Sus scrofa: one gene and its partners. The protein of the gene in region 5 purifies or fractionates together with the protein of the main gene of each other region. This does not show direct contact. Links are inferred from orthologs where the notes say so. Each region holds a gene or a part of one and is shown on either strand. Other genes may lie near its edges.

Evidence for each region.
Region 1: the proteins of WDR76 (region 5) and CUL4A purify together in Homo sapiens (affinity purification with western blotting; 3 studies listed by BioGRID). This does not show direct contact. The link is inferred for Sus scrofa from reciprocal best matches to the Homo sapiens genes WDR76 and CUL4A.
Region 2: the proteins of WDR76 (region 5) and CCT2 purify together in Homo sapiens (affinity purification with mass spectrometry; 4 studies listed by BioGRID and IntAct, with this or other methods). This does not show direct contact. The link is inferred for Sus scrofa from reciprocal best matches to the Homo sapiens genes WDR76 and CCT2.
Region 3: the proteins of WDR76 (region 5) and HELLS purify together in Homo sapiens (affinity purification with mass spectrometry; 4 studies listed by BioGRID and IntAct, counting the BioPlex papers as one, with this or other methods). This does not show direct contact. The link is inferred for Sus scrofa from reciprocal best matches to the Homo sapiens genes WDR76 and HELLS.
Region 4: the proteins of WDR76 (region 5) and NUMA1 purify together in Homo sapiens (affinity purification with mass spectrometry; 3 studies listed by BioGRID and IntAct, with this or other methods). This does not show direct contact. The link is inferred for Sus scrofa from reciprocal best matches to the Homo sapiens genes WDR76 and NUMA1.
Region 6: the proteins of WDR76 (region 5) and XPC purify together in Homo sapiens (affinity purification with mass spectrometry; 3 studies listed by BioGRID and IntAct, with this or other methods). This does not show direct contact. The link is inferred for Sus scrofa from reciprocal best matches to the Homo sapiens genes WDR76 and XPC.
Region 7: the proteins of WDR76 (region 5) and DNAJA2 purify together in Homo sapiens (affinity purification with mass spectrometry; 3 studies listed by BioGRID and IntAct, with this or other methods). This does not show direct contact. The link is inferred for Sus scrofa from reciprocal best matches to the Homo sapiens genes WDR76 and DNAJA2.

The regions. Positions count from the first base shown.
Region 1 is NC_010453.5:78,563,530-78,567,029, reverse strand, and holds part of CUL4A (cullin-4A), read right to left. Parts: intron 516-3,500; coding exon 412-515; intron 1-411. UniProt on the Homo sapiens protein: Core component of multiple cullin-RING-based E3 ubiquitin-protein ligase complexes which mediate the ubiquitination of target proteins. As a scaffold protein may contribute to catalysis through positioning of the substrate and the ubiquitin-conjugating enzyme.
Region 2 is NC_010447.5:33,868,514-33,871,304, reverse strand, and holds part of CCT2 (T-complex protein 1 subunit beta), read right to left. Parts: intron 2,297-2,791; coding exon 2,156-2,296; intron 1,841-2,155; coding exon 1,712-1,840; intron 1,384-1,711; coding exon 1,280-1,383; intron 1,011-1,279; coding exon 911-1,010; intron 94-910; coding exon 1-93. UniProt on the Homo sapiens protein: Component of the chaperonin-containing T-complex (TRiC), a molecular chaperone complex that assists the folding of actin, tubulin and other proteins upon ATP hydrolysis.
Region 3 is NC_010456.5:105,960,503-105,964,002, reverse strand, and holds part of HELLS (lymphoid-specific helicase), read left to right. Parts: intron 1-2,627; coding exon 2,628-2,750; intron 2,751-3,500. UniProt on the Homo sapiens protein: Plays an essential role in normal development and survival. Involved in regulation of the expansion or survival of lymphoid cells. Required for de novo or maintenance DNA methylation. May control silencing of the imprinted CDKN1C gene through DNA methylation.
Region 4 is NC_010451.4:6,660,167-6,664,338, forward strand, and holds the start of NUMA1 (nuclear mitotic apparatus protein 1), read right to left. Parts: upstream 2,801-4,172; 5' UTR 2,624-2,800; intron 2,601-2,623; exon of another isoform or gene 2,486-2,600; intron 1-2,485. UniProt on the Homo sapiens protein: Microtubule (MT)-binding protein that plays a role in the formation and maintenance of the spindle poles and the alignement and the segregation of chromosomes during mitotic cell division.
Region 5 is NC_010443.5:127,664,858-127,668,357, forward strand, and holds part of WDR76 (WD repeat-containing protein 76), read right to left. Parts: intron 2,274-3,500; coding exon 2,056-2,273; intron 1,220-2,055; coding exon 1,067-1,219; intron 1-1,066. UniProt on the Homo sapiens protein: Specifically binds 5-hydroxymethylcytosine (5hmC), suggesting that it acts as a specific reader of 5hmC.
Region 6 is NC_010455.5:70,347,595-70,351,640, forward strand, and holds the start of XPC (DNA repair protein complementing XP-C cells), read left to right. Parts: upstream 1-1,246; 5' UTR 1,247-1,341; coding exon 1,342-1,444; intron 1,445-1,737; coding exon 1,738-1,881; intron 1,882-2,110; exon of another isoform or gene 2,111-2,208; intron 2,209-4,046. Other genes in the region: U6 snRNA-associated Sm-like protein LSm3, read right to left, coding at 1,009-1,029. UniProt on the Homo sapiens protein: Involved in global genome nucleotide excision repair (GG-NER) by acting as damage sensing and DNA-binding factor component of the XPC complex. Has only a low DNA repair activity by itself which is stimulated by RAD23B and RAD23A.
Region 7 is NC_010448.4:37,582,743-37,586,811, forward strand, and holds the start of DNAJA2 (dnaJ homolog subfamily A member 2), read left to right. Parts: upstream 1-1,269; 5' UTR 1,270-4,069. UniProt on the Homo sapiens protein: Co-chaperone of Hsc70. Stimulates ATP hydrolysis and the folding of unfolded proteins mediated by HSPA1A/B (in vitro).

The DNA of each region.
Region 1 (3,500 bases), on a different chromosome or scaffold from region 5:
CAGGCCTGGGTCCCGCCAGCGAGGAGAGAGGACCACTGAGCCAGCCTCGCCTCTGGCCCGCAGACTGGGAGCTGCCAGGTTTGTGGGGACTGGTTGCATGTCGCAGAAAATGAGAAAAACAAGAACAAACAGCAGCAGAGCTCCAACTTCAAGGCCTTTTACAGAGCCTTTCCTTACTACTCCTAACCAGACTCGGGAACGGGCACTCTCACTTTAATGCCATCAGCAAAGTCACTCAAGTGGTGAAATTCCACCGGACGACATACATCTAGGCGTTTGGCTCCCCAGAGAAAGGGGATCTTAAAAGCTTCTGTTCAGCATCAAGGATACTCCTTGGCTCTTCACCCTATCGTGCTCAGTGTCACAAGATCTAGGTAACGAACAGGCACTTCCTAAGCCAGAAAAGGATATTCTCTGAACTGAAGAATCTGGGCCTGCACGTGGCTTTCACAGGCCTCACGCAGCTGCTGGTAGAGTGTTGGGGCGACTTTGTGAGAACAAAGGTTTTCAACAGCCTGAAAACAAAGGAGTAAGTGAATTATTCTCCATGAATGAAAAATTAGTTCTTCACAAAAATTTACTTGTAAAAAGAGCTGTCATCATGACAGAAAGGCAGCCCCACACTCACGTAACCTACCGATAGACACGGGGGTACGTTCAGGGCAGTGGCTGCTGGGACCCTGGAACCCACTAAGAGGTGGGTAAGAACAGTTCGCAGGGCCGTGAACAGGGCGCAGAGGGCACGGCCCGGGCTGGCCCAGGCCCTCCTGTGCGCCCTCGCCCCTGGCTGCACACCAGTCCCCAGGCACCGCAGTGTGTGGTCCACCCTGGGGACGACCACGTGTCCTCGGGGCGGGGGACCCTCGGCGACACCTTCCAGTGTCAGAACAACAGCAACAGAAACCCAGCTCCTTTTACTCCCATGAGTTTGACGACTCTGCCCAAAATGAGCTGAGGTTTTGAAAAAGCCCCAAAGCCGGGTGCCACAGGCCGGATGTGGGAGTCACTGAAGTTTGCCTTAAATTAACAAAGAAACACAGTTTTGAGGCAGAAAAATCTGTATCCACGTCAAAGAAATTACGCTTGTATAGTCTTACTAGCTCTTTTCCCAAAAGTCATGAACAAAACCAGCCTCTCATTCAATCCAAATGTGAAATACTAAAAAGAGAAATGCAGTTTTTCTGCTGTGTGTTTTTGAACTATTTTTAAAAAGTATGGGGAATATACAGAATGGAGAAACTTTGAATCTCAAATACTGCATGTCTAAGGGGAAAACAGGGCGACCTCGATTTTTGTAGATACTAAGAAAATGATTACTGCAGAGAGACACAGCAACCCCGACTGCCCAGGCCACGTGCAGTGGCATAAGGTCGCAAGCGCGCCCGCGCCAACGCAGGGAGTCCGAAGCCCACCTTCCCTCGTGCCGTCTCCCTCTCCAGGGAGCCCGCCCGCGGCTGTTTCCACATCCCTGCCTCCTTTCTCCATCTCTCCATGTTCTTATAATTCAGTCAAAGACACACTGTCGTCGTCTTCCTTAAAAAAACCCAAGATAACCTCTTAACAAAGGCTCTGCTCCAGCGGTCAGTCGTTATAGGCGTGCTTGTTACAGAATCAGTTGTGAAAACACTGCATGAAGACAGGGGTTTTCTTTGGTAAGAATCAAGCTAGGCCGGCAGTTCGGGCTCCTTGGAGGACGTCTGAGAACCATTTTCGGAGCTCAGGTCTGGAACTGGGTGTTGGTGTATTCAAAACACTCTTTCCGACTCGTGGCTTTGTGCTGAATTTGTGTGTCCGATTTGGCACACGCTTACTATTCACACGAAGCCCACTGGGATTTATTTTTTAATTGAGAATTTGAGGAGCCTGTGAAACCACTGGCCAAGCCCTGGAGCACCCGGGTTCACCGTGGCCACGTCCTTTCTCCAGGCCTTTTGCTGAGTCACTGTTGGTGTCTTCATGTTACAGGCACCCTGTCACCTCAGAGGACAGGCCAGCCCGCTCCTCCCCGCAGGGCCAGGGAGCTGCAGGACGGTCTGTGCCGCCGGGGGAGCAGCACAGGAGGCTCCTCCACCGTGGGGTCAGGAGGCCCACGGGGACACTCGGAAATGCCTCCTCCCGGCTGGTCCTCGCAGCAAAGGGACAGGAACGGAGGCGCCTGGGTCCGGGGCTTTAGAAGGGTGGAGCTGCCCTCCTGCACCGTGGCCCCTGCCCTCCATCAGCGTCCTCAGGCCACCACGCCCTCCTGCGCTCTTATCTCCATCAGCCAGACAAGTGGTAAAGGTCCCGAGAGGACCTTTCAGGGCTCAGCAGGGACGCCTGCAAGGCCACCACAGGGTGGCAGCTGGGGGGAGGGGGCACCTGGGGGCCGAGGCCTCAAGGGCAAGGCAGGCAAGGCTCCGAGTTACATCGCGAACAAGAGGGAAAACGAAACCAACGGCCCCGGGAAACCACAGCCTGCGGACACGCCCTGCATCTCCCGCAGAGCTGGGGACCTTGGCCGCCAAGGTCCCCATGACTGCTCCAAATGCGACTTGCTCGTCACATGGGGACTCCACCTGCCCCCCAGGTTCCCACCCCCCAGAAACGAGGAAAGAGCAACGTGAAAAATAAATGACTCAGGTCTGAGCGCGGGACCAGCATGAGGGGAGGTTCCCCAGGAAGACTCTGAGGACGACACAGTCCCCAGCCCCCAGCCCCGGGGCCCGAGGCCGGGCATGACGCCCAGGTTCAGAGGACGAAGCTCACCGAGTGCCCAGAGCCACGGAAGGACGCGACCCTTTCTACTGGGCCTGATGCACATGAGGCTGAGTGGTCTCTTTCCATCACTTCGGGATTGAATTCGCTCTAAATTAATTTACTTTCTCAAACTGGCCCCTCGGTGTCTCCCTGTCTCCCATTTTCTGGGCTTTTCCCCATGTGCTGACCACTTTCACCCATCCTCCCTTGACAGCCCCTCGCAGTGGGAGGGTATCACGGGGACAGGTCCTCCCAGCCTTGAGAGGAGCAGCTCGGCTCTTCTCGAGCGCAGGTTCTCCAGGAGCGCCTGCACCTCTGCGTGACAACTAGCGTGACACCAAGACAGCCTTCCCCAAAGCCCTTCTCCAGAATGTCAGCTTCTGTTGTCCCATTAAGCAGACAAGCAGGACTAAGACATACAGATCTAAGACACCAAGAGATAACGCTTTCTTGAGCCAGTTGAGATTTCAGGTCAAAACTCAGGTTTTTAAAAACAGCAAAGGTCTATGCATTCACAATATCCCCCTTCTTGCATTCCAGAGCTTCTCATCTCCGTACTCTGAAGACCCCTTTTTACCAAACAAAATCGAAGTATGAAACAGAGCAGGCAGGCTGGGCAGACAGGCTGGGCCCCCTGGACAGGGAGACGCAAGACCCTTTGGGGAGAGCGAGAAACATCCAAACAGGAAGTTCTCCTTCAAATACTCCCGAACACGCCCGCCAAACAAAGAAAACCTTCCAAGCCTTGGTGAGCACTGCTACTT
Region 2 (2,791 bases), on a different chromosome or scaffold from region 5:
CTTCAGCTGCACTTAAAAGAACTTGTCGTTTCACTTGGAAACTTTCTGTTATACCCAGTACTGCCATATCTCCAATGGTACCTTCCTTCATATCTGAAAAGTATTTACTAAATAAACAACTATAGTCTTAACAACTAAAGTATCAACATACCAAATGACATAATAAAATTAATCCTCACTTATAAAAAATAAAATTACAACCATTTATTCAATTTAGTTATTGAGAACACTCTCAACAGCCAACCACTCAAGGAAAGCGATTTAGAAAATGTCATCTGTATTAATAGAGGGCAACTATTATCAAATAATGGAAAATTTATATACAACACTGTATTATCCACATTTATCCAACTATAAATAAAAACTGAAGAAAATCTGCTCATCATTGATTACACCATGGATTCTTAAGAACTGGAAAAGAATTTATGTCATGTACTTTTCTTCTTGTTAGAGTCCTCCTTCATCTTCTGGCAGATTATCTTCTCCAGTGACAGGATTATCAACTCTCTAAGAATTCCTTCAATGTCTAGACAGTATTTTGGGAAACTCTCCAATGAGTTAGATCTGTTTTTTGGCCATGTTCATGTATGCATCACTCAAGAATGCTCAGAATAAGTTTACTGTGAGATTAAGAGTTAACAGTGATTATAAAACATATGGTTAAGTTTAGTTACTTCAGAATATAAAAACTCTTTTATGTATTTAAATCTTACAGTCATTACATAATAAACTATTTACAAATCTCCTAACTAGTTTTATACCCCTTAAAGAATAATTAAGTTTTAGCAGTACTGAAACTACAAAGTTAAAAAACTTTCCTAGGATGTTTAACAGTTATAAAGGCAAGGGCCACGAGAATATTTTATAGATTATTATTAACAACTATTACAAGGTTCCAATTATTCCTTACCCAGTCCAGCAGTTGTATTGCCTTCACTATGGGCAGCTCGGAGCTGTGCAACCAGATCTGCACTATCATAGCCTGCATTGTCAGCTATGATAGTTGGCAACTATGAAGTGAAAAAGACATGGTAACTACTCCACTAAAAGAAAATTAACTTACAAACCAGAAGAAAAGCTTTTTAAAATTACACATTTAGAAACAATGTAAATCTGCTTCCTTTTAATTATTGCTCATAAAGAAAACTCCGAAATCAGATTTAAGTAGTGTGAACCAATTTTCCTTAAAGCCAAGAAAGTAAACATTTTCTGTCCAAGATAGAAAAACCAACAATACCTATAAAATTTAAGTTCAGGTCTCTCTTTTTCATTAACTTACCATTCTCAGGGCTTTAGCATAAGACTCCATTGCAACAGCTTCTTTGCCTGGTGTTCTATTGGCAAGCTGTGTCACAGCATGAGCCATGAGCATCTCAGAACACCCTATGGATTAAAGTTCCAACAACACATCATTTTGCTTAGTTGTCTCGAAAACACTAAATTACTGACTTCCCTTCAAATACATTAACCATTTGAAAATTAAGTGCAAAGGCAATGTAAAGTTTCTATAAGAACTATTAAAGCCAAAAGCATTACTACATTTTAAAAAATACAATATGCTTAACATTTTTCTTTTTTTGAGTTGACCACGCCTGGAGCATGTGAAAAGGCCAGGGAATGAACCAGAGCTGTAGCAGTGACAGCACCACATAGTTAAGCTACAGGCCACCAGGGAAGTCAAAAATATGCTCAGTATTTTTCAAATGCTTACCTCCTCCATAAACTGTTCTAGAATCTTTCACAGTTTGGGCAAGAACACAAAGAGCATCATGCAAAGATCTTTCTGCTTCATCTAAAATTTGTTGAGTGGCACCACGTAAAACAATGGTGCAAGCCTCACCTAAGGTTAAAAAAAAAACACATTTTTTATGTCACAGTGAACATTTAGTTATGAAACATAAAATTTGCCTTCTACTATGCAGATTAATTATATTATTTGGTTTTTAAAACTGACATGTCTTCCACTATTACGTATTCTTTGCTAACAATCCATATTCCTGTAAGTTTTAAGTTATCTAAAACAATTATGTTGAATATATACTGTTCACAAAGATAAGGTTACCATGAGGCTGCCCTCAAGAGACTGAAATTAACACAAACCATGTTTTGTATATTTTAGTAACTACAATAACTTTCACTTCGGCAGAGCCCAAACCAGGATCTACATAATCACTCACCAGGGCTACCCCAGAGAAGTGAATGAGTTTGTCTTCTCCAATCATAACTTCCTCAATAAGTTTGCAACTTCCAAGCTTCACTAGCTCTGGGTGGTCAAAGGTAGATGCAATTTCACCACCTATGTACATAAATACACATTAATTAAACACACAACAGGTTCAACATCTGTTTTCTAACAAGCAGCAATTAACAGAAAACAAAATATTTAAGTTGACTGCTTACTATATGCCAAGCACTCTCTGAAGCACTTTAGACAAAATGACTCATCTTCCGCAACAACCTTAATAAGATAGGTTTAATTTATTATCCCATTTAGAAATGGGAAAATTGAAGTTGGAAGACGTTTAGTTTCTCTCCGAGGTTATGTATTTCAGACAAATACCAAGCTGAAATTCAAATACAAGCAGTCTAGCTTCACACCTCTATGTATACACTGATAGTATATGTATATACCATCTTTTTTTTTTTTTTTGTCTTTTTGCCTTTTATTGAGCCGCTCCTGCAGCATATGGAGGTTCCCAGGCTAGGGGTCTAATCGGAGCTGTAGCCACCAGCCTACGCGACAGCCACAACAACATGGGATCTGTGCCTTGTCTGAGACCCACACCATAGC
Region 3 (3,500 bases), on a different chromosome or scaffold from region 5:
GTCATTGTTAGGTCTGAAAGACTTGGGAGTAGCATTAAGGTCTTTGTAGTGGGGGAAGGGGAAAGGTAAGATTTGTGAGTTTCTTAGAAAAGTAGAAGAAAAAAATAGTTCACGTGCGTGTAGACCAAACTATAACTCCCTGGGGAGTAGGGGGAATCTGGGGTGGGTAGAGGTAATAGGATGGGCAGTGGAGAATTTATGCTCTTGGTGACCATTGACATACTCATCCTCATCAAGAGAAGCTTCCTGCCCAGGCAATCAGTACTTTTCACAGATGAAGCTACAGTTTATGTTAATATAACAAATAATAAAATTAAGTCAAGAAAGGGTAATGATAAGATGAAATATTTACTACAAAATTATTTTGAAATACTGAAGACTGGGTTTTTAAAGGTTAATCATTGGCATAATTTTCTAATTACATTATAAATTATTGTTCCGGGAGTTTCCGTTGTGGCCCAGTGGAAATGAATCCAACTATCTGTGAGGATGAGGGTTCGATCCCTGGCCTGCTCAGTGGGTTAAGGATCTGTCGTTGCCTTGAGCTGTGGTGTAGGTCGAAGACACAGCTCTGATCCTATGTTGCTATGGCTATGGTAGCCTGGGAACTTCCATGTGCTGAGGGTATGGCCTTAAAAAAAGGCAATAAGTAATTGTTCCATGGTGGCACTTTACTTTTTTTTTTTAGGGCCGCACTTGTGGCATGTGGAAGTGCCCAGGCTAGGGGTCGAATTGGAGCTGCAGCTACAGCTGCTGGCTACACCACAGCAACACCAGATCCCAGCTGCATCTTCGACTTACACCACAGCTCAGGGCAGTGCCGGCTCCTTAACCCACTGAGCAAGGCCAGGAATCAAACCCACTTTTTCATGGATACTAGTTGGGTTTGTTACTGCTGAGCCACAATGGAAACTCCCCATTATGATACTTTAAAGCTTTAATTAATTTAATCTGAGCAGGATTTAAGGCAGCAGATAGATCTAAATTAAGCACAGTGTATTTTAACTAAAATATTAAATTTAAAGTTAAATTTAAGAATTCATATTTATAAAGTCTTTAGTAAGTTACCTATACTTTAATTTGAAAAATTGAATTTGAAAAGAAAACCAAAACAAAATAATAAAGTCTTAAGTAGTTTCATCTCCCCATTTGTAGTACTCATTTCATTCAGTGACTCCTTACTGTAATCATAGTAGTATATTGGTAATAGCAAAAGAAAAGCTGTCCTGAAAGAACTGAAATAGTTTTATGAGTCATTAACATATTATTTCCATGGATAAGATTATGGGTGATTTTTGAAAGAGTTGTAATTTTCCTGTAATTTGCATGTATTACTTTCATTAGATTTATTCTTAGGTATCTTGTTCTCACTGCTTTTATACTAGGAAATGAATTTATTTTGATAGAAAAGAGATAACTGTCTGTGAAATATGAGCCAATATACAATGGTATCTGATTTGGAAGGTCAGGCCTTATTAACCACTAATTAACACACTTACACACTCTTCTTCCTCCCAACCCGAAAAAGTGGAAACGCTGGTTGGTAAGATTTGTATAGATTTACCTCTCACTTGGCTTGTTCACCTCACTTAATGCTTTTCTTTTGAGTTCAGGTTATAGCATTGGGTTGGCAAATTATGAACTGGATTTGGCTTGCCTGTTTATGTAAATAAAGTTTTATTTACATATTGTCTATAACTGCTCTTATGTAGGAAGGCAGATTTGAGTCTTTGCAGTATAAACCATATTTTCAAATATTTAAATATTGGTTCTTTGCCCCTTTACAAAAAAAGTTTGTGGATCTTTATAAACTATTCATTTTTTTGTTTTCTCTCTTGTGCCCTCTGCTGTTCTTTTAGAATGTTTTAACTTTTATTGTGAATTGAGAGAGGGTACCTCCTCAGCCACTAGACTGTTGTATACTCTAACAAACCAATAAATAAATGGTGTGTAAAAATAATATGGAAAGCAGAGGTTTCTAAATGGAAGGTGTACAGAAAGTGAAAGATAAAGCTAAGAATATGAAAGTTAAAGCTAAAAGGTAAAGGCAAAGCTTGGGCAACATAATACTCAGGAGGAAAGCTTATAAGAAATTAATAGATTTAGCATGTTGAAAAATTTTGACACTGTAGTTTTTAAATTCTAAAAACATGTTCTAGGCTCTAGCTAGTGAGATTATCTTTTAATTCCAGTTTCTTTCAGATAAAACTGATGTATGAAAATTTTCTTTTCTGAAACCATTTGATTGTTTAAAAGCTTAAATTCTACTGCAATTAAATATTTACTTTCTAAGTTTAATGTCAAATATTTCAAAGTGGACTTTCAACTCTGTCAATGCCAGTAACAATATAATCAGTGTATGAAATTTCAATATTTTGTTATCCAAGCTATGTCTCACCAGATAGTTTATTGAATCCCAGAATCATGATTTATAACTATTCTAGCATTTTGTTTGTTTCATTTTTAGTAAACGAATTTAAAGTTATAATAGTATTTTTCATTACAGGAAATATATTAAACCTACAGAGCATTTATTCATTTATTTAGCCAGCTTTGTTACATGTTATGCAGAAAAATTAATGTATGTCAGAAAACTTAATAATTATGGAAACTTTCTCTTTGGATAGGCTCGAATGTCTTGGGATAGAGAGTCTGTGGATATTAGATATCGTAGACTTCAACATTTGCTTGAAAAAAGCAATATTTACTCCAAATTTTTATTGACTAAAATGGAACAGCAGCAATTAGAGGTATGTATATGTGATTGATTATACTTAATAGCATGTTTTTTAATTTTTTTGTCTTTGCCATTTTCTTGGGCCGCTCCTGTGGCATATGGAGGTTCCCAGGCTAGGGGTCGAATTGGAGCTGTAGGCGCCATCCTATGCCAGAGCCACAGCAACTCGGAATCCGAGCCTCGTCTGCAACCTACACCACAGCTCATGGCAACGCCAGATCCTTAACCCACTGAGCGAGGCCAGGGATTGAACCCACAACCTCATGGTTTCTAGTCAGATTCATTAACCACTGAGCCACGATGGGAACTTCATAAGTTTTTTTTAAAGAACGGATTTATTGAGATATAAATTACATACAATAAAACACGTACATTTAATTCTCAAGTTGAATGAGCACAATCAAGATAAGGAACATTTCCATCACTCTAAAAAGTTCTCTTGTCTAAATGATCTCTGCTTCTGGCCCTGGACAACCACTGATTTCTGTTCCTGTTATTAAATTAATATTGCTTTTTATAGAATATTATATAAATGGATTCATATGATAAGTACTCTGTGTCTCAGTGTATTTTTGAGATTCACCTATGTGTGTTTATTTAGTAGATCATTTTTATTCTGAAGAAGCATTCCATTATATGAATATACCAATGTTTATTTTTCTATTCACCTGTCGATGGTTTTTATCCTATGCAGTAATGTATTTAGACGCTAAAAATTGAATTTTATGCTGCCCAATCCCTTTTTTTAAAAAGTGCTTTAATT
Region 4 (4,172 bases), on a different chromosome or scaffold from region 5:
GTCTGCAGCTACAGCTGTGGTTCAACCCCTAGCCCAGGAAGTTCCATACACCACAGGTGCAACCATAAAAAGAAAACAAAAAAGTAAAATAAAGTAATAAAATAAAACAAGTGAGAACAAATAACAAGTCCTGGGAGGATGTGAAGCCTTATGTACTGCTGGTGGGAAAGTATACTGGTGGAACCATTATAGAAAACAGCATAGAAATTCCTAAAAAATTAAAAACACAACTACTGGGGTGGGGCTCCAATTCGACCCCTAGCCTGGGAACCTCCCTATGTGTGGGTGCAGCCCTAAAAAAATATATATTAAAAAAAAAAACAACAACAACAACCGAGAAAAAGGCAGGTTACATACAATGATATAATAGTTAAATTTTGAGTACAGTTCTCAAGAGTAACAACAAAATGCCAGAGTTTCAGTAAAATAACATTAGGGTTAGGGTTAGGGTATGGGGTTAGGGTTAGGTTAATAACATTTTCAAAGTGCTAAGAAAAAAAAAGAATTGGAAGCCTAGTACCCAGCTAAACTACCAATCAAGACTGATTAAACCTATTAAAGCTATTAACCCTATTAAAGATATTTCCCACCACAGAGTATTTACCACTAACCGACCCTCACTATGAAAACAGCTGAAGGATGTATTCACCTACCCAACACAAAAAGAGGGAATAAAATGCAAGAAAGAATCGTGGAAACAAACAGTAAACATGAATGGGTAAAATGAAATAATCACTGACAGCACAAAATAATTGTGATTTATCAGAATCGTTCAACACAGACAGAGTACCTTTGGGGTGTTCTCATTCTTAGAAGTGCTGTTTTGAGTCTAGACAATACCTTTTGATATGCTTAGAGTACAGAATAAGAGGCTGAAATAAATGACCCCCAACATACCTACTGACCACAGGGTTTTATTAATTAGACCCAGCTGTCAAACATTCCCTGATCAACTCTACTCAGCCATCTGAGGCAGTGCTTTTCCCATCCTAACATATCTAGATCTTGACCCAAAAAGACAAAAACAAAACAAAAAAATTAATTAAAATAAAAAATAAAAAATTTTTAAAGGACACGCTAAATGGAAATATTCCTTACATGAGCTTTCGGTTAAGGTGTTCTAATTTGAGGAATTATCGTTTCTGGCTTTGAATTAAGATTCAGGCTTTACAATGAGTCATCATTTGCTTGAACTTGGGCCAAGAAAAGAGTACCCTGTAGCTTTTTACAGAGAAGTGTGTGTTTCTTCCTCTGAAGGAGAAAATACCACCCAGGAAGAGACAGGGAGGGAATGCATATACTCTTCCCCGCTGCCTAAAAGTTGCCTTAGCCTGATCTGAACATTCTCTCTAGGCTCTCATCAATTCACAGCAGGAAAGATCTCCACAAGGCAGAGAGCTCCAATTCCCTTCCCATCCAAGGTTTCTGGCCACAACACTTGCCAATCCAGAGCCTTAGAAACGCAGGACCTGGCAACAGACCCCAGAGAAAGGGCAGCGTGGTTTAAAGTAAGTAGTAGTATATTTTCTGGAGGCAGTGCCACTCTGGGCACGAGGCTAACTTAATACAGAGATGCAAAAGCCACTAAATAAAGATGGGAAAGCCAGGTTCCTATCCCCTTTCAGCCCAAAAAAGCTCATTCATTTCAAAGCATATGTTAACTAATGGCCACAATACATTTCACACTCTGCACAGGCATCAGGATACAGGGGCAAAATATTCCGTCTCTATCTAGTAGGGCAGACAAATGCGCAGACACTCCGAACACCAGATGAAAAACGCTACCTTAGGGGTGAGCAAAAGAGGGGGCCCAGAAGGGGCAGCATCCACCCAGAGGAGCTCTCTTGCACCAATAACCTTCACACGGTCACATCACTTATGGTCATGAATGTGTACTCTCCGAGACGCTTCAAAGAAACACTTTACCTAATTTGACCCGCACACCCCCCACCCCCCGTCCAACAACCCCAGGAAAGTAGGTAAGGGCACGTAAACTCGTTGTTTACACCACACGTGAAAAAGTGAGGCTCACAATAAATTGACTCGTCCGAGACAACCCTCACTGCCAATAAAGCACCTCCTTCCCACTCAGGCCCCACCCACAAAGACGCCAGTGGAGCCAACCACGCACTGGTTATACAACCCCGGCCAAGCCGAACATAAACCTCAGAAGGGCCCCGCTGTAGTAAAGTGTGACAAAGCTGCGGGACTGTTTAAAAGAGGATCCACATAACGGGCGTGGCACAGCCTCTGAAACGTCGTCGGTGCTCGGGAACTGTTTACTAGTAGTACTACCGCTATTGTTAGCAGTAACGGGCGAGGACCATTACTACAGGAAGCCGCGGCCACAGGCTTTGAGGAAGCTGCACCACCCGCACCCCGTCGCCCGCAGACTCGATGCCACGGACACGCCCCCGAGCAGGCCCTCCCCCGAAGCACGTCCGCCGCCTCCCCTCGGACAAGGCCCTCTCCTCACAACCCTTACCCGCGACAGACTCTCCCCACTCAGCCTCGGTGAGGAACGAGGCCTTCCGTTCGCACCCGTCTCTCAGCACCCCCTTTAGGCCCCGGCTTCCCTGCGGGCGCCCAGGCCGCACACCAGCAGCGGGCCCGCGCCGCTTACCTGGCCGCGCGCTCCCGCTCCGCCTCTCGCCTACCCGGGATCGCCTTCGCCACGGGCTCGCGCCAGCGAGGCGAGCGCACAATTAGTTTAAACTATGGCCCCGCCCCCTCGCGCCGCCCTGCGATTGGTCCGTGTCGGCTGGCGTCGCACGCCCAGGGCACGCTGGAGGACCCGCGAAAAGGAAGTGGGAAGGGAGAAAGGGTGCCACAACTTCCGGAGCCCGGCCCGCGGCTTGAGGGCAAAAGCAACTACAAGTCCCAGCACCACCCGCGGCCTTGGCGCCCCCACCCGCCACGAACTGCAGCTCGCGGAAGGTATCGCGGTAGCGCCTACCGCGCCAGCCGGGACTTGTAGGCGAAGGTGGTTACCATGGAGTTGCGCCGAGTAACGCTGCGATAGTAGGACGCTGAGGCTGGCGGGGAAGCACTTGCGGGTGAGTTGAGCGGGGAGGGGCACGCAGGAAAAACTAAGAACTTCTCTCCTCGGGGATCTGAGACAACCCCGTCTTAACCCTTTTCACAACGACAAGGCACAAACCCATATGGGATAGACGGGCTCGTGGGGGGGGGGGGGAAGGCGGAGATAAATACCCATACAGATGTGGGGGTGCTTAAGATCGCCATCATCACAGAATAGGACCCCCTAATACTACTGTCTCAAGTCCCTGACACATTCTGGAAGATCTGAAACTTCTTCAGATATAGGGTTGGTTTTCCTCTGATCAACAGAAGACCCTCTGCAAGACATGGGAGTGGGATTAGAGCAAATCAAAAGTCTCTAATTCTGGGGATGTAGGAAAATTTCTGGGGCTTGAACGGCCCCTTTCCTTCCAGGCAGGAAGACCCAGAGTAGAGCCTCCTTTTCAGAGAGTCAGCAGGATCTTCCACACATACTTAGGAGGGGTCCTGTCTTTACCTCTTCTCCCTGCACCTCCTCTGTTGTCCGTCTCCCCAAGGTCTGCAATTAGAGCTTCATTCCTTTTCCAGACTTCATGACAGATCCGTTACATCTAGTAACTTACCTAGTGCTTTCACAGCCTCTTTCTTTTGAACTTTGTGAATCCAAGAATATTTATCCCATATCACAGACTGGAAAACCAACCTAGTGAGAAGTAGTGACAGAGGCCACGCACCAAGTCAGTGACAGCTAGGACTAGATCCCTGTTTGCCAACTTCCAGCTAAGTCTCTAGCTTGAGCTTACAGCCTCTCTAGTTTAAGAATGTGTTCAAAGTAGTAGATTAAACTGTCCCAGGGACAGTTTTTAAATGGGCTGTCGTGGGGGGGAGTGAACAATATCAGATTTGCATTTTGCAGGATTACTCTGGTTGCAGTAGGCAAAATGGCTGGGAGGGAAGGCAGAAAGGAAGTGATGGTAGCTCGGACTAGAGAAAAGACATTTAGGAAGCAAAGCTGACAGGTATTTATTCTGGATGGGAAATGGAAGGGGTATTCAAGGTAACTCTTGGTTTTCTGACCTCCGTAATGGTGGGGAGAGGGGAGAACACCGGAAGAGATCCAGGAGTACCCAGAGAGTATGAGTTCACCTGCA
Region 5 (3,500 bases):
TCCCCTTCTCCTTGTGCCTAGCTATTCCTTTGCAATTTCTTGGTACTAGAGCTTATTAATTAATCAGATTACTAGAAAGCCAAATCATTAACAGCTAATGTAATAAGAGTTAACCCTGCAGTGCAAATGAACAAGAATGGGAAAAATAAGAAGCTCTTAAGACAAAATTTCATGGGTGGAAAGGGGACACTGAGGTGCCAACATCTGGTGACTAAATCTCTTAATGTACTACTTGGTAATGCTCACAGATATTACTAGAAATTAACTGGGCACCTATCATACATATAGACCGTGTTCCTTCCAATAAATGAGACTAAATAGAAATTAGGTGCCTTTCTAGAGCCTGGCCCACAGTATACATTCACAGACACTTGTTGAATGAACAATGAATGAGTTCCAAAATCACTTAAGGAAAAAGTCATGAACTGAGAAATGCTTGCAATGTTAAGCAAAGTCAGGGATTTTAGAAGAGAACAAAATCATTTCCTTTGTTATTGCGTTAACATTCTCCACATCTTTTTTACTTGGCATTATTTCTATTTTTGTTCAATTGGTTTACATTACATTTTAAAATCCATTTTTAGGAAGTAGCTACAGAAAGGTACCAAGGCTAAAACCATAAAATTTTACCCAGTAGTTTGTGTAGAAACCCAAATTTTGCTATCTTTACTGGCTACCCATGGCTCTGCAACTTCAACTCAGCACTTCACTTGCAAGGTAGATCCCACTATCCCCATTATAAGAGCTTCTCCTTAGGCTAAAATTATCTCACTTCCAACATATCACAAGACTTCTTTCATTGGAATTTCAGTGCTAAAAGGAAAGCCTGACATCAACTCCCTGGGGTAGCTACAGACCACCCTTACCAATCTCAAGGAAATTTACAGATCCCCAAATTGCTGAAAAGCCATTGAATACAAGGCATTGATCTTTGGGAGCCAAGATACAGCTACAAAACAACAATGCTAGTGATTTAATAAGGAGCAATAATAAACAAAGCTACTGGCTACCAAAGTAACAAACACTCTAAATTCTTTAACAACCTATTTTTGTCTTCCCAATTTACCTTAGCTTACAATCCGCACATGTGGTTACTACTCTGTTACCAGTAAGAGGTGAAAAATAGGCAGAAGCAATGCTTTTTGTGTGTTCAGTCAAAGAGATCAAAGGCTGGCTTCTACTGGGATTCAGGCGCCTTGCATCATAAATATGAATATCCCTGTAATGAATGGGAGGAATAATTCTCAGTGTTGCCACAGTACACAGAATGAACAATAGTGCTTAACATAAATTAGACACTCAAATCCTTACTACACTGAAGAACAATTAAGATCGAACATGTTAATCTTCTGTATTAATTTTTAAAACAATAGTATAGATTTTTTTTAATTTTATTTTATGACTGCACCCACAGCATATGAAAATTCTCAGGCCAGGGATTGAATCCAAGCCACAACTGTGACCTATGCTGTAGCTGCAGCAATGCCAGATCCTTTAACTCAGTGCACTGGGCTGGGGATCAAACCCACACCTCAGCAGTGACCCAAGCCACTGTAGCCAGATTCTTAACCCACTGTGCCACAGCAGGAACTCCAGACTTTTAAAAACTATAAATGTTCCAAAATTATAGCATATATATGTAACCATGTGGGTGTAGAGAGGTATGATTCTAGCTGGCTTTCTAATTTCTCCAAGAAAAGACTTAAAACAGACTAAGAAATTATAGGTCACATAAAACTTTTATTTCTTTTACAAATTTTCTTCTCAAAAGACTAGAAGTAAATAAATGAAGTCAAGGAAAACAAAAATGTATATTTGTTTCAATACTTTCATTATTTATTAAGTCCAAAAGAATCGCTCATAAAAAAAAAACACGCACTAAAACAAACAAACAAACAAACAAAAAACCTCCTCAGTCAGTGTAGAAAGGAAAATTATTTGGTCTGTGTCACCAAAAAAAAGTCAGTTTGACAACCAAGCTAAAACATTACTTCTAACATTAAAAATGTTAAATCCTTAAAAGGCCTAAATCATAAAATGTTACGAGGAACGTACCTTAATCCCGCAGTGATAAAATACTGTCTATGCACTGGGTGGACATGAACAGTTCTTATTTTGCTCAAAGAAGAATTGATAAGTTTCTCATAAGAAGTTCCAGGCGTCCGTCTATCCACTAGAGACATACTTCCATCCCAGTGACCTACTATTAAAGTAGAGGCATCTTCTGCCAAGAAGTCAAAAGAGGAAAAGCTACTTCCTTCACCTCTATACACCTAAGGATATAAATAACAATCAACTTTAACACTCTTCTTTTAGAGAAAGCCAATGCGTAAATTTTTTGTTAAAAGAGTAACAAAACCCAAATATCTTTCTTCATTCTCCCATCCATCCCCACATGAAGCATAGGGCAAAATGATCATCCCCTTTTACAGAGATGGAAACTAAGGCACTGATCAGCTGTGAGACTCACCTACAATCAATCAGAAGTCCCATCCACCCATGCAGGGGCTATATTCCAAATCTCTTAAATCCAATCAACCTCAATTACAGATCTACCCTGTGAAACTTAGCAGGAAATGGACTGAATCTGAAGTCTATCCAACTGAAATACCTTAACATACCAAGTTACTTTGCCATCTAAATCCAAGGTATATGGCTTGAATGCTCACCTACTCTTAGTGGAAGTATAAATAGAACATTTTTATAGCAATCAGGATACATCTACCAAAACACTTAATACTTATATATACCCTTAGATCCAATAATTTCACGAAGATATATATAAGAATGCTTACTGCAAGACTGATTATAACAGCAATAAAAAGCAACCTAAATGTCCACCAAAAAAGACCTGGTTAAATCATGATGGTACATCTTTGTTTTGTTTTGTGTTCTTTTCTTTTTAGGGCTTCACCTGCAGCATATGGAAGTTCCCAGGCTAGGGGTCAAATAGGAGCTACAGCTGCCAGTCTACACCACAGCCACATTCTGCAAACTACACCACAGCTCACAGCAACACCAGATCCCCAACCCACTGAGCAAGGCCGGGAATCAAACCCTCATCCTCACGGATATTAGTTGGATTCATTTCTGTTGCGCCACAACAGGAACTCCAGCACATCTTTACTTTACTTTGAAATACCATGAAATGCTAAAAAGAGTAAGGCAGATTTGTACTACTAACTGCCCAAGATATACTAATAAATGAAAAAAGTAAGTTGCAAATAAAGTATGTATATAGTGTGAACCCATTAATACAAAGAAAAAAATCTGTGTCTATATATTTTTAAATATGTGTGTACTTTCTGGAAGCACACTGAGAAATAAAGGTTACTTCTGGAGAGTAGGAATGGAGAAAGGGCAGATTTACTTTGAACACCTTATTTATTGTAAATATTTCATCATGAGCATGTATTGTTATAATTTTTAATCAAAATCCACAATATTATCACTTTGCACTCAGTGCCCACACATATAAGTAATAAAAAATTAAAAACTGA
Region 6 (4,046 bases), on a different chromosome or scaffold from region 5:
TAGCTTTAAGTACTGCCTTTTCAAAAGGCCTCCCAGACCATCCAATTAATTCACTCAATGAATATTTGTTGAGTGTTTCCAGCACTGTTCTAAACCCAGAATAGTGAACAAAACAAGACTCTTGCTCTCAAGGGACTCACATTCTAGCTGGGGGAGACAGACATTAAACAAGGAACCATATACTCAATATGAACAAAGAACATGCTATGAGGAAAAATAAGGCAGACTGGGAGAGTGCATTTTATGCAGGTGGCCAGAGACCTATTCTTTGATATGAGGTGAGATTTCAGTAAACAGCTGAAGCTGCGGCCTAATCCACAAAAACATCTGAAGAAGAGCATTTGGAGAAGACGGGACAGCAGGTGAGAAAGCCTGAAGGACCATCAGTTATTCTAAATACCAGCTCCCTGTCTCCTGCCTACCACATCACAGTTTCCATATGTTTCGCATATTTATGTTTACTTGTTATCTGTGCTCCCTCGAATATAAGCCCCAAGTTGGGCAGGTATCTCCCAAGTCAATGCCGATGTCCCTGGTATTTAGAAAGGTTTCTAACTATACAAAGGTGATACTCACTAGTGTTTGTAGACCCTGTAATCATTGTTGCGCTCAGTAATGACAATAACCCACTAAATGTTTTATTAGCCTTTCTATCAGAATCCCGAGAGCTCCGTGAGGCAGGCAAGGATAATGGTTCTCATTCTACAAATCAACGTGAGACTCAAGAGAAAGGAAGTGAGAAGAGTGAGGAATAACTAATTTTCAGGAGGGTTTTGAACAACAAAGGTCTCAGGGCCTGAGGCAAAATTCGGAGGGGGCGCGGTTAACCAAGAGGCAGGTTAAGGCCGTGATGACCCAGAAAGAGGCGGCGTGACAGGCCACTTTCTCGTGAGTTTGGGAAAAGCAACCCTGAGCTTGGGGAAAACAACCCTGGTAAACAAAGCTGGGCACACCCTGGCCTGGACAGGGAGAAGCCGCCCCAGAGCGAACTCTTCAGAAGATACTCACCTGGTCCACGTCGTCCGCCATGTTTCAAACCCTGCGCCCTTTCCGTCCTCTCGCGAGGGCACGAGAGCTGCTCCCTATGCCCACCCCAGTCTCCGGAAACGTGAGGACTCTATGCACTGGAAGTAGAAAGAGGTTGGTTTTACAGCTTCTTGCTTCCTGCAGCTTGCATTGGTCCCTTTGAGGCTGGGGCGGAGCTTCAGCCTGGGCGCAGGCGGGAATCTACCGGAGGGGGCGTGACCAGGCCCTGCACCGCCTGGGGGCGGGGCCGCGCGCGAGCTGCGTCCCGCGGAGACGCGGTGCGTCACGCTCTAGGCGAGTCTTGCCCGGGCAGAGATGGCTCCAAAGCGCTCGGCGGGCAGGGCGCCGCGGGGGCGCAAACTGCGCGGCCAGAAGGCCAAGGGCGAGGGCAAAGCCCGGCGCGAGGAGAAGGAGGCGGGTATGAGCCAGGCTGAGTTGGGGTTGGTAGGGAGGGTGGAAGAGGTTTGGGTGGGGGTAGCAGGAGGCCGGCTTCCTGGAGGTGTGAGCGAGGCATCCTCCCTCCCACCTGCGCTGGGGGCGGTGTTCCGGAGGCCTAGGGAGGCTGGGGGTGTGCACGTGCCCAGGTGCTCCCCGGCGGCCCTGCGCCTTTGCTCTCCTGGCCAGAGGTGATGCGCCCTGAGACGTTCCGCTAGAGCCCAGCCGACCGCGAGTTCCTCTGCGTAGCCTCTTTCTGCTCCTTTTCGCCCCCAGGATGCAGGCGGAAGCAGGGGGCTGAATATGTGAAAGGTACTGCTATTATGTTGTGTCGCCACGAGACGAAGGGACCAAGACTTAGAGTGCTGTGGTGTGTGGAGAGTCCCAGATTTGGATCCCACCTGACAACGTGCATATCGAGTAGGCTGCTTATATTTGTCATGCGCAAAGCAAAACACTTGATTTCCCCTTTAAACCTATCCCTTTCTTACTTTTACCCCATATCAGTCTTTGACCCCTTCATCACTTGTTAAAACAAACTCCTTTTCCCTCCAACACACATCCAGTCCTTCAGAAAGCAAATCCTATCAGTTTAACCTCAAAACCATATCTCAAATCTCTCCACTTCTCTGTTTCCATGGCCACATACCCTGTCGAAACCACCATCACTTTTCAGTTGAACGACTGCAGTTGCCTCTCTACGGGTCTCCCTACTTCTTTTCATCCCCCTGGAGGAGTTTTCTGTGCTGCAGCGCAAAGTACCTTAAAAAAAAAAAATCTGATTTTGCCATGCTCCCACTTCAGACTCTCTGTGTCTTCCCATTGGCATAACAGCCTCCAGATTCCTCACCTTGGCCTACAAGACCCTGTATGATCTGGCTGCTGCTGCCTCTCCTGTTGTCTCTTCCTAGTCTTCTTTGCCAGGTACCTTCCTTCTTGGCCTCCTCACACACACCATGTGATTCCTCACCTGAGCCTCTGCCTAGAATATTTTTCCATGGCTTTGCTGTAGCTGACTTCTCTTCCTCCTGGTCTCAATCCAGGTATTCCTTGAATGTCCTAAGATGGTCTTTTCAGGTGCACCTTATCACAGCTTCTGTCACATCTGTAATGACCTTGTTAATTTATTTGCTTCCTGTTTGCTCTCTCTTACCAGAATTGAAAGTTATAAAAACATCTTAATTTTCTTATCTTGTTCTTTTCCCCTTCCCTGCATATACCAAATGCTTGATAAATAGTTTGTCATTGCATAATACATGTATGCTGTAGAAGGGATTTCTGGGGTTCCTGATATAACTGGGTAGACAGTTAAACTAAGTCACCAGCAAGGTCTCCTGTGACACTAGATTCAATAATTCTGTGATTCTGTACATATTATAAGGCCATCGTCCATTAGGAAATAGTAAAACAGTAACCATTTATAAACTTAAAAAGTGATTCATCTCACAATTAATACTGTGAGTTCCGTTTTATTCACTTAGTCATAAAATAAACATTCCTAATGTGTCAGTACCTAACGTGTGCTGCACACAAACTGGGAGACATGGGACTTAGAGCTTTCTTGGAGGAGCTTAGGGTATGGTAGTGTTGACATTTACAAAAAAATTTATCCAGGACAGTGGTATCATGGAAGATGGTAGGAGGCTTTGTGGCTGGTGAAGGAGTAATTAGGAGAGCTGGGAAATGAATGTTTAACCTGCAGCTTTAGGGATAGGTACTACTTTAGTAAACAGCTGGTAAAGGAGCTTGTCATTCTAATCAGGGAATGTATTTGGAATACATGGCAATTTCAAAAATTTTTTCTAATTGAAGAGGTTTGGAAATGCCACCTGCCTGAGTAGCATTCCCCCATCTAAACACTTCACCTTGTCACCAGCTTGGCATAGTGCCAGTGCTTAATAGTTATATGGGCTTGCATAAATTAGCTTGGGCAAATTAATTTCATCTCTCTGAACCTCATGTTTGACTTGTGGGGTGGTGGTGAGTTTTTCCTGAGAGCATGTGAATCTCCTGGCATGGTCTGTGTGAGGTAATCAGATGGGCCAGCTCATATCAACTCAGCCTGAACATAGGTAGGGGATTACTTAAGCCTCACGAAAATTATGAGCCAGTGCAGCTAGCATAAGTTTCTGAGGCAGCTTCTGGGAAGAGTTAGCATCTTTGCTGTGTTTGTGTAGAGGAGCAGTTTGGTTGTGGTTTTGGATGCAGCTGACACTGATTTGGTGACTCGTCAGTGTAGTTTCTTTGGTTTTTTTTTTTTTTTTTTTTTTTTTGTCTTTTTGCTATTTCTTGGGCCGCCCTTGCGGCATATGGAGGTTCCCAGGCTAGGGGTCGAATCGGAGCCATAGCCACCGGCCTACGCTAGAGCCACAGCAACGTGGGGACTGAGCCGCGTCTGCAACCTACACCACAGCTCACAGCAATGCCGGATCGTTAACCCACTGAGCAAGGTGCAGGGACCGAACCCGCAACCTCATGGTTCCTAGTCGGATTCGTTAACCACTGCGCCACGACGGGAACTCCCTCGTTAGTGTAGTTTCTGACAGCACCATAGTGTGGGTTTTTTTTTTATTTTGTTTTGGTTT
Region 7 (4,069 bases), on a different chromosome or scaffold from region 5:
GACCAAAAATAACTAAGTAAATAAAGTAAAAATAAATTTGCAATCTCCTGGGATGGATCATGATGGGGGGAAAAAAAAAGGAATGGGAGTTCCCATTGTGGCTCAGTGGGTTAAGAACCCAACTCATATCCATAAGGATGTGGGTTTGATCCCTGGCCTCACTCAGTGGATTAAGGATCTGGCGTTGCTGGGAGCTGTGGTTTAGGTCACAGACAAGGCTTGGATCTGGCCATTGCTGTAGCTGTGGCGTAGGACAGCAGCTACAACTCCCTAGCCTGGTGACTTCTATATGTCTCAAGTGCGGTCCTAAAAAGACAAGAAAGAAAAGAAAAAAAAAAAGATGTGTGTATATATATACATATATATGTATGACTGAGTCACTTTGCTGTACAGCAGAAATTGGTACAATGCTGTAAATCAACTATTTTAATTAAAACATTTTTAAAAAGAATATCAACCCTCTATGACTGTTTTGCAAATAATTTTCTCAGTTTTTCATTTGTTTTACAATATTTTAATTATGTCTTTGCAGCATAGAAAACTACCCAAATTTAGGTAATCAAAGTTACGAACTTTTTCTCTATTGTATCTCCCTTTAATTTATGCCTAGGAAGGCTTTCATTTCTAGAATCAGTTACGTATAAACCAACATTTTATTTTAGCCCATTTTATTGTTATTTTAAAAGTCAAATCTTTAATCCATATGGAAGGAAAATTCATTGCAAAGAAAATAAAACTATAGTTAGTATAGAAAATATAAACTTGTATTGCTTGACTTGTATAAAGAACAATGGAAGGATAAGTAAGAAATATAGGCAATGGGGGTGAGGTAAGCAGGGTAGAGAGGACAGGGATGGAGGCAAGATTTTGCTTTGCATATTTCGAATTACATAAATGTGTTAAAAAATAAATTTAAAAATCTTAATTTTTTGGGAGTTACCATTGTGGTGCAGTGGAAACTAGTAACCATGAGGTTGTGAGTTGGATTCCTGGCCTTGCTCAGTGGGTTAAGGATCCAGCATTGCTGTGAGCTGTAGTGTAGGTCCCAGACGCGTCTCAGACCCTGCAGTGCTGTGGCTGTGCCGGCAGCTGTGGCTCCAGTGCGACCCCTTGCCTGGGAACCTCCATATGCCTTGAGCGCGGCCCTAAAAAGAAAAGAAAAAAAAAATCTTAATTTCTTTGTAAGCAAGATGTCTACATTTATAAACTCATAGGTCTAGGAAACGTTCAAGTTGAGACAGATAAAACTGAAAAACAGATAATTCTGAAACAATTTAATGAAATTTTGCTAAAGTAGATTAAATCGAGTTTTCTTTTTTTTTTTCTTTTTGCTTTAAGAAAGCGATCAATCCTTCAGGCCCTGAAATTTAGAGAGAAAATGTTAGAACTCATGATTAGGCTAGAATTGGAAAAATATCCAGTATCTTTTAATATAATTAAAATCACGTAATAAATCATTCTTGGGTTTGTGCAGCCAGATCACACAAGATTTGAACTGTTTCAAAGTAATAATGCTGGCTGATGTTAGAAGAAATTTAAATTCCTGTGGACTGGGTTTAAAATTATTAAATCTGAAATTCTTTCTTCGTGCCCTCTGGAATTCACTGCCCATCAAAATTCCTGTAGTCTCAAATCCTCCTGTTAACAGTCTCTTTACTTTCTTATTCAAATGGAAATCTGCAGCCCTCTTAAACTGTGGCTATTTTTCCACCTTTCCACTGGGCCAGGAAGGTGACTTCAACTAGAACCCAGAGTTTGCTACCATAAAGTAACTGTTGCAAACTTTCTTTCCCAATCCCTGAGCCCTAAGTGATTAGGTCCAATTCCTTAGTCTACCTAGATATTGGAATTTCAAATTTAACTCTGCCAAAATAGACACTTATTTTTATTTATTTATTTATTTTTGCTTTTTAGGGTCACATGTGTGGCATATGGAAGTTCCCAGGCTGGGGGTCGAATCAGAGTTGCAGCTGCTGGTCTAGTATCCTCTGGATACTAGTTGGGCTCATTACCACTGAGCCACAACAGGAACTCTCTGAAATAGAGATCTTGATTCACCCTTTTCATCTCTATAAAAACTTCACTATCACTTTAATGCCTCAAATAAAAAAATCTAAAATCATCTTGAGGAGTTCCTGTCACAGCTCAGTGTGAACAAATTTGACTAGTATCCATGAGGACGCAGGTTCAACCCCTGGCCTCAATCAGTGGGTTAAGGATCCGGTGTTGCTGTGAGCTGTGGTGTAGGCTGCAGATGCAGCTTGGAGGCTGTGGTGTAGGCCGGCAGCTATAGCTCCTATTCGACTCCAAGCCCAGGAAACTCCATATTCTGTGGGTGTGGCCCTAAAAAGACAAAAAAAAATAAATATAATAAAATCACCTTGATATTTCTCATCTTTCAAATATCCACATCAAATCCATCAGCAAGTCCTATAGGACCAGGACCCTTAATCAAATGATAGTATCACATTCCCACTGACATCACTGATATCCCACCGTCAAACATTATCAACTCTCCCCTGCACACCCTCAGAGCCCTTGTACCAGTCTCATAATGGTCTCCACTTTTAAATCCAATCCTGGTATGGTCAAAAGATTGTTGTGAAGTTCCTGTTGTGGCTCAGTAGTAACGAACCCAACTAGAATCCATGAGGACACGGGTTTGATCCCTGGCTTCACTCAGTGGGTTAAGGATCCAGTGTTGCTGTGAGCTGCCGTGTAGTTCACAGACACAGCTCAGATCCCAAGTTGCTGTGGCCATGGTGTAGGCCGGCAGCTGCATTTCTGATTTGACACCTAGCCCGGGAACTTCCATATGCTGTACATGCATCCAAAAAGCAAAAAGTAAATAAATCAATTAATTAAATAAAATTAAAAAAAGAAAGATTGTTGGAGTCAGAGTATCGGAGGGAGTGGAAAGATAGGCTGTAATCAGTGAACGAGATTAAGGAGAGTTTACGATGAGAGAGTCATAAAACCATGGGAGTGGGAGTTCCCATGGCTCAGCAGAAAGAAATCGGACTGGTAACCATGAGATTGCAGGTTCACTCAGTGGCCTCACTCAGTGGGTCAAGGATCTGCCGTTGCCGTGAGCTGTGGTGTAGGTTGCAGACACTGCTTGGATCTGAAGTTGCTATGGCTGTTGGGTAGGCCAGTGGCTACAGCTCCGATTCCACCCCCAGCCTAGGAACCTCTATATGCCTTGGGTGTGGCCCGAAAAAGCAAACAATTAAAAATTAAAAAAACTAAAATAAAACCATGGGAGTGAGTAGCTCCATGGCAACAGAGGGCAAGACCACTGAATGTGAGTTCAAGGAAGTGAGAGGCCAGAGTGTTGGATCATCCAGGTATGTATTTCAAGTGAGGAATTAAGATAGTAGTGGAGTTGGAGAGTAAGCCAAGAGTTACAATTTTCAAGAAATTAAGAGGGATTTTAGGGGTCAATAAATTGACAATGCAATGTTGTCAGGAGATGTTGTCAGGTGACTAAAGACTAAAGGCTCTTGTGGTGTAGGTCAAAGACGCGGCTCAGATCGCTCAGATCCTGCGTTGCTGTGGTTCTGGCATAGGCCGCAGGCCGGCGGCTCCAGCTCTGTTTCGACCCCTAGCCTGGGAAACTCCACATGCTGCAGGAGCGGCCCAAGAAAAGGCAAAAAGACAACAACAGCAACAACAACAACAACAACAACAACAACAAAAGACTAAAGGCTCTATGTGTTTAGGAATGTGGGAGGGAGATTCACCCATCTCATCTCCAGGCTTTACTTCTATAACATATACCAAATCCATTTCCTCATCTCCATTTTTACTGCTGCCATCCTAGTCCTTTCTCCCTCTCTCTTTCGTGGATCCCTGCAATTGAGCTTCCTAATTGATGTCCTTGATCCTTGATTACCAACATTTTACAGCATCTTTGATACTACGACTTGTTTTAACCAGATTCAATTCACTGAGAAAGAAGGTGACTGATCCCTGGAAGCTCCCACGTGGCCCAGTGGGCTAAGGCTCTAGCGCTGCCACAACTGTGGTGGAGGTCACAACTGCTGGACAGGTTTGATCCCTGGCCCAG